Linked DNA regions of Oreochromis niloticus. The protein of the gene in region 1 interacts with the protein of each later gene in a biochemical or structural test. Links are inferred from orthologs where the notes say so. Each region holds a gene or a part of one and is shown in the gene's direction. Other genes may lie near its edges.

Region 1 (3,751 bases):
AAGGTAAAGGTTGGTGCAAAGAACTTGCTGTTAAGACATGATTACTCACCTGTCTTTTCTGTCCTATCCAGGGTGTTTGGGCAAATGTTTCCCTGGGGTCCGGACACCATTTAAAGGTTCTAGGAGAGGCCATGCATTAAAGGAGTGTGTTTTTGGTCTTCCTCACTGTAGATCCAGCTGCAAAAGGCCACCTTGTCACACAGACTCGGGATCATAGATAGAACTTTGGGGCTGATGCCATCAGAGAAAGCAGCCTTGCTCTGGTTTAGTTTCTCCAAATGTATATTAACTTGTTTATTAATTTATTCTTAATGTATTATTTTCTTTGGTATGTGTTTAATCTTTTTTTATTTTTATTTTTTAAGAAATCTGTTCTCATTCATAATATGCTGTGTGAAACATGGTGGTATAATAACTCTCTACCTTTTGGGTTATTATCTTTGCATTGAATCAATTATATAATCATATATTTCTATCACCATGTTTTGCTTTTTGCTATTTTTGTAAAGCTGTAAAATAATAATAACAATCTTCATCATTTACTTGGCCAAAAAGAAGTGGACAGCAACACAGTTGAAATACTTAGCAGTCCAGCTGTATGAGCATCACATTGTAACATAACCGCCCATTAAAGTTTATAATCCATTTATAAGAACATTTTGGGACATTAGATGGTGCCACTGATATAGTGATAGTGGAGCTTTTCTACTGGTGACTCTGGGGTGGATGGATCCCTGCAGAGGGGATTTCTTCACTATGAAAACACTAGATGGCGCTTGGGATGGGTTTATTACAGTGCATGTTGTCTTTAATGATCACCAAATCATTCTTTTTCCTTTATTGCTACCCGTTTTGTCCTTCATGTAAGTGAACTGTAATAAGTTTAAAGACGCTGCTAGTTTTTTCTCTAACAGTCCATAACTGTCCCATCACATCTGATCCTCAATATTGATAAGAGCGGATCACTAGGCTCAAAAGATAATTAATATTTGCTTTTATGTGACTTACTAATTGAATAATCTACAGTGAGGCTATAATGCTGTTAAAAACAAAAAATTATAGACCGTATAGGATTAAAAATCAAACGTGCAGCAGGATGGGGAGGGCTCGTATGTTTTCTTTAAACCGGAAAAGAGGCGGGGACAGCAGTAACGTTAGCAACCACGCTGAGCGACAGGGACGGTTATCGTTAATGTGAAGAAAGGACTGCACTCTAATATGTTTCTCTAAGTACAGACTGAGTTTATGTTGCAGACCGGGAGTACCATCCGATTCACCTGAGAAGCGGCGTCCCTTGGTACCGAGCAGGTAAGGCCGAAGGCTGACGTTGCGGCTGACTGTGCCGTAGTCACTGTGGGATTGTCCCCGATCACAGGAGGCTAACGTTAGCCAGTAAGTTGCGCACGAGACGGCTATCAATGGCGAACCATTTCACCTAAACACTGTCTCTGGAGGGTAATACGTTCACCTTTTGTTGTTTTTCTATGCTCCTTGTGGGTATTACGTCAGATAAAATGCTCTTAGGATGGCCGTTAGCATGCTAAGGTTAACAGCGAAATAGTGCTAGTCAGCCCGTGACGCTGTCAACGCCTCGACTGGTTTTGACAGCTCACTTTGTACAAGGCCGAAGCCACACGCATCTGTAGTATTCACCGTTTTTTTATCTACGTGAGGCTAAACCACCCGCTGCTTTAAACCAGGGTAGTTAAAACATGGCCCTTTTTAACTGAGTTTTTTTTTTTTTTTTTTTTTTAATATTAAGGCCAATGCTACCCATTTGTAGACAGTCTGTTGTTAAAGTGAGCTGTTAAGCTTTACATGCGTTGTTGTTGTTGTTTTTCCGTCTTCCGGTGTTTATTGTGTTGCTGCTTATCATTTCAAAATTTCCCTAAAGATAACAGCTACAGCCACAGCCAGCATCGCTGCTTTCGTTAGTGGTGCGAGGTTCGGGTTAACGCCCCACCCTGACCGCGCCACCCCTTTGTGCACAGTTTAATATCATGTAGTATTGTCACGTTGCTGGCAGAGGCAGTGAAACGGTGCGAAGAAAGGTTTGTTAGCCGAGATACTCTTCCTATCACCAGCTTTACGTAATCTCACGAGGCTTGACAGTGAAACTAGCTTCTAATCAGATTTTCCTGGTGTCTACTACAGAGTTTAAGGTCACTTCAGCTTTTGCAGGGATGGCCGCAAAGTCCAGGCAATTGCGAGGAGCCTGGTAAGATGAACCAAACCTCGCCCTGTTTCACTTTGCAGGGATTTAGTGTTGGTATGAAATGAAATCAGTTTCAAAGGCGTCATTGATTATTAACTTAGACCTAGAGACGGTTTTGATGAGGGGAGGAAGCAGGCTTATTGACTTGCACGTGACTGAACATGAACTTTTCCTATCTCCCAGTCGACCTGTTGTCTTGACCAGATCATGACGCTACAAACACAGACACAGATGCAGGGTTTCTTTTGCATAAATAAACCTTTGGCTTTCCACCTTTACTGTGATAAACATGATGTTAACAACTTTGTTTGAAAATTGCATACACTTCTGTTAATTCTTTTGTCTAACAATATGCAGAGCAATTGTGCTTATGTGCATTGTCCCTCAAAGGCCCACTCTGAGCAGGAAAAACCCTAAAATATTTGCCATCTTCCTACTGTCAAATATAATATCTGATATCTAATGTCAGATATTAAATGGACTATCATTGTTTTCTCACTGCTAAGATGATGGATGAATCAGCAGTTCTAGTTTTGGGGATCACATTTTGTCAGAAATAAACTGATTGCTTTCAATTACTTACGTGAACTCAAAATGTTTACCATCTTCTGCTCAAAGACAGACCTGGAACTAATTGTTTAGTCGCCGAGTATTTTATTATATATTTTTTTGGGTGATTAAAAACAAGAAGACTTAAAATTGAAGAGGAAACATTTATGTGCTACCTGGATAGTAACCCAAGCATTGTCGACCCGTGGTTTTGTGCCCAGAATGGCTATTGGATGATCCGGCCTGGCTTGTAATGATGCATCTACATGTGCATCTTTCTTTCATCTGCCTCGAAGAGTAATATTAGTGCAAACAGCACTTGGAACAAAACACAAAATTGGCTTCATGTCATTAACCACAACACTGACGGATGAGATGGAGCTATGTCCTGTGTGTACTTCTGAGGGTTCCCCCCCCCTCATACTGTTGTTGTTGTCTGTGGGCTGTAAAATGGGGGAAAAAAAAAAAAAAAAAAAAACAATCAGAGAGAGGGAATCACAATGATCAGCTTTCTCTCTTAACCCTGGTTTTCTGCTTCAGGCTCTGTCGACTCTCACTTGACTGCGATTGAGTGCCTCCTGCTTCGGTCAGAGGAATTCCCGATAAAAGTCTATAAAGGATATGGAAAAAAAAGACAACTTTTCTGCAAATAAGCTGAGAGTATTACTGCAGAAAGTCATTTATTTTGTGACTCAGTGAATTAATATTTATTTTGTCACTCAGTGCACTTTCAGCGCAACAGTTATTAAAAACGTGACTGCTACACATTTGAGCTCTGAAATGTTAAACTGGATCTGTAGAAACATTAAAACTAACCCGGTGTGTTTACGCCTGATTCTGTACCACAGCTTAATGATGGAGAGGTAGAAATCACTTAGACTATGGCCAGATCAAAGTGAAATGGAATATTTTTGGTGACAAAGTGTTTTTGTCTGTGTTAAACAAACTTTGGAGGAGATTGGGAGAAATATGAACTTTACTGCAGGC
Region 2 (3,751 bases), on another chromosome or scaffold:
GCATTTTTTGCAGTGGTGAAAAAGGGCTTCCTTCAAGAGCAGCCCTGAAGGCTTTTCTCCGACCGTGGCCTCTGGATGAAGGTTGAACATAGTCACTGTGACTTCACTGCTTTAGTCTGTGGGCTCTGCTCCGTAAAGCCTGAAACCGTGTAGTTTATTGGTCAGGGACTTGGATAAGGTGAGGTGAAGCCCAGCAGAACAGGTTGGAAAAATGAAGCACGTGTCTTAAACCCGTGTTCTACCTGAAGGCCACCAGATGGCAATAACTGTGGTTGCATAAAAAGACCTCCAGTCCCATAGAGGCTTGTCACATGATGTCAGTCTACATTCCTCCAGAGTGGTCTGCAATATTTGAGGTGATACACATTAGGGCAAAGTATGTATTCCCTGAATGGTTGGTGAAACCTGAAATAATCTGGTGCAAACCAGAGAAGGGTCGCCTTCAAAGTACAAGCGATGGCTCAGAACCATGCCGATATGTGTCAGAAGGCACAAATTTCACTTTGAAGGTAAATGTTCGACATTTCTCTTTGTGTTGCTTTTTTTCACAGCTTTGCAGACACATTGGCGTGTTGCATGCAAACCACGGATGATTGCAGCAACTCGATAGCAACCAAAGCAATCACTGACCAGTTGGGGAATACACTTTTCTCTCACGACTGAGCAGTGGTGGCCAAACAGTTGCAGACCAGTCTGTAAGGACATCATGTCTCAGATGATGGACAAGTTAAAACCATGTGGTTGGTGATCATGTGACTGCAAGACCTCAATAGACGACTTGGGAATAAGTCATTCAGAGTTTTTGGGCTCTGCTACTTGTTTTGTGTCTTTTAAAAAAAAAAAAAAATAGGAGTCTGTTTTGTAAATTTTGGTCATACTGTGTTTTCTGGTGTGTTATTGGGAAAAAAACATCAGCTACAGTAAAGATAAGCAACTCCCTGATTTCTGTATTGCTTCATGTGGAGGACTCCTGGGGGCCCCTGAGGGTCCGGGAAATCCGAAGCCTTGTAGGTAACACGGCCCTGGATTGCGGTGAACCTTAAACATGTCAGGCTGTTTAATGTGAATCATCTCCTGCTCTGTTTAACATTGAATGGCCGGTGTTAGCACAGAGTCTGCGCTGCACCGCAGGTTTAAGAATCATTTATGCCAAACTATGAATGGACTTTGAAGCAGCAGTAAACCCTCGGTCAGCCTGTAAAGCAGCTGGATTAGCTCGCTGCTGTTTTATTTCGCAGCGGGTCCTCACAGAGACAGCAGAGCGCGCACAAACAAGCAGAGGGGAGGGGGAGCTGCTGCCTTTGCGGAAGCCAGCGGAGAGCCGAGGCGGCGCTAAATCAAATTACCATACTAACTAGTTCTCTGTGCGCCGATGTGAGGGGAGCAGGCTGAAGAAAAGCCTCCGTTTTTAAAGTCAAGACACCTACGAGTCCGGCCTCATTTTGTTGGGATCTTCCTGCCGTCCGCCTGCAGAGGAGATGGGGGACAAGGCGGGCACCAGGTAGGACGGCTAGGCTATGAACGGCTAGCTGCGGTTTAGCGTCGGTTCTCACGCACTTTGCTAGCAGCCGTGCTAGTGGCCCAGGCGGAGGAGTTTCTGCTCTCAGCCCGAGCATCAGAGATTTACCCGCTTAATTAGCTAGACCCGGGCCGGGACCAGCGAGCGAGCCCTCTGGTTCTGGTCCAGAACTCTCAGAGCGATGACCTCGTTCGCAGGAGGCGAAGTTAGCACAGCAGGGTGGGGTTAGCTATCCGCGGCTGTGGTGGACGGGACGGCGTTCCAGCGTCCGCTCAGAAATCTGTCAATTTTCAACATTACGCTAACGTTTCCGTCTGACTGAAAAGCACACGAAAAATGATCAACTGTTAACGCCCACCGCTTACTCTAACACAAAGAAAAAAAACGGCACGATATTCGGGTGATTTTACACCACATTTGGGTGTTTTAAAGAGGAATTCCCACGGTGTTTGTCCAGTAAAATACCGCTGAAACGTTAGTGGGCGGTATCGACATGTAACCTGAAAAACAGCATTTTAACTTGAGATTTGTTTAAATTATGGAGCTTATTCTTGTTCGATTCAGTTCCAATGTTTACAGTCAGCTTTTATGTAACGTAAAATATTAGAGTGTTGTGTATTCTCGTTAACCAGGGGCGAAATGTTAAAATGAAGTGTTTTTGAATGGAATTTGGTACGAAGGAGCGTATTGGTGGGCTATTTAGGTTCACTTGCCTCCATCACGGGCTTATTTCGGGTTTCTGGTACCGCAGGTTCATGCCAGTTAGCTGTAAATGTATTTTAAAGAGAATGGAGCTTTCGTTTTCGGGCATCTGTGAGTTCTGGTTCCTGTTTCGGGCCGATACACTCGGTTTGTAGGCACAGCACATCGACACAAAGTGATTGTGGTTTCTTTAAAGCTCAGGATGCCCCCCCTTCCCTTTTTTGTGTGTTTACACCCTCAGTTAATTGGGTTAGCACTGCTGTGGATCAGCTTTCCTTCCCATGTTTTCTCCTTTATTCCTTCTTCTGCAGATCCCGATTAACAGAAGAGACCCAGAGGGCTTAACTGCATTAATCCAACACACAAAAATAAGACTAATGATGAGGAATGACTGTTATGCTCATCAGATCCCGTCCTGTCGTAATGTGATAGGAATACAGGGCCTTTAAAGTCAGGTTCAGCTCTTTCCTTTACTCCATCTGCTGAAAATGAGGTTAAAGTGCTGACTGCTTCAGGCTGTTTACATCCACATCCTGCATGTTTCTCCTCTGTGAGGTGAAGGTTTGTTGGATGTACAGCTTTCATGCACACAAAAATGATCCGTTTCCTCATGTGTTAGCAGCTTTTCACTATAAAATGCTGATCATCGCTGCTGTTTTTGATGGATTTTCCTCTAACCGGGGGGTTGCGAGTCAGCCCAGCCCATTCCACTTGCAGCTTAACTTTCCTGCCAGTTACTTCCTGTTAGGAAGCAGGTGGAAAACTGGGAGGAGAGGAAACGGGCAGGAGGAAAGACCAACGTCATAGCTGTTGAAGAAATGGGTCTCTCTGACATTCACGCTCGAGCCGCTGTTAACAGATTATACATCGAAGCTGCATGTCGAGTGGCTCTGTGGCACTTTGACTCTTTGCAAAACACCAGCCAGCAGTGGAAAGTTTTTCTCTCTTTGACCTTTCACCTTTTGTACTGACAGCCGTGAAGCTCTTCTCCTTGAGTTTTGTATGAGTAGATTAGTAAGTGTGGCTGTGAGGTGTAGCGATGAGCCAGCTAGAACCGATCACATCCTGATATTTTGTCTGTGTGTTACATTATAGACAAAAAAGCCTCTCCTTCAGAGGCGACGGCTCAGGAAAACTGTTATTTCACGCTTTGCTTCCAGTTGTTTACCGCAGTGTGTCAGATTTTGCATGGCTAAAAGAATCCGTTTTAATTGGCTGTTGTATTGAGATCATCTTCAACACCTGTGTCAAGGACGTGAAGCCGTTACGCTTTACCAGACTCATTCACAAAACAGCAATTTTATGTCACAAAACACGTGAGCTGCTTGTTTACAGCTCGCTCAGCTGCTTAGTTCTTGCTGCTGCATGACTTTGGTGTTCTTAATGTATTTAGTCATATCGGAAATGGTGCGTTGCATAAACTCGACCCTGTTTTCATGTAAGAGTTGCTGGTTTTGTAAGAGAAGTCTGGTGGTGGTTCTCAGCGACTCCCACAGATCAACAAATGACACTGACTTTGTCCCTTGTTGC

Evidence for each region.
Region 2: of the proteins of usp33 (region 1) and arrestin red cell, one has a biochemical effect on the other in vitro, tested with the Homo sapiens proteins (2 studies listed by BioGRID, with this or other methods). The link is inferred for Oreochromis niloticus from reciprocal best matches to the Homo sapiens genes USP33 and ARRB2.

What each region holds. Positions count from the first base shown.
Region 1 is NC_031982.2:25,338,867-25,342,617, forward strand, and holds the start of usp33 (ubiquitin carboxyl-terminal hydrolase 33), read left to right. Parts: upstream 1-1,119; 5' UTR 1,120-1,308; intron 1,309-3,751. UniProt on the Homo sapiens protein: Deubiquitinating enzyme involved in various processes such as centrosome duplication, cellular migration and beta-2 adrenergic receptor/ADRB2 recycling.
Region 2 is NC_031975.2:31,924,892-31,928,642, forward strand, and holds the start of arrestin red cell, read left to right. Parts: upstream 1-1,088; 5' UTR 1,089-1,478; coding exon 1,479-1,501; intron 1,502-3,751. UniProt on the Homo sapiens protein: Functions in regulating agonist-mediated G-protein coupled receptor (GPCR) signaling by mediating both receptor desensitization and resensitization processes.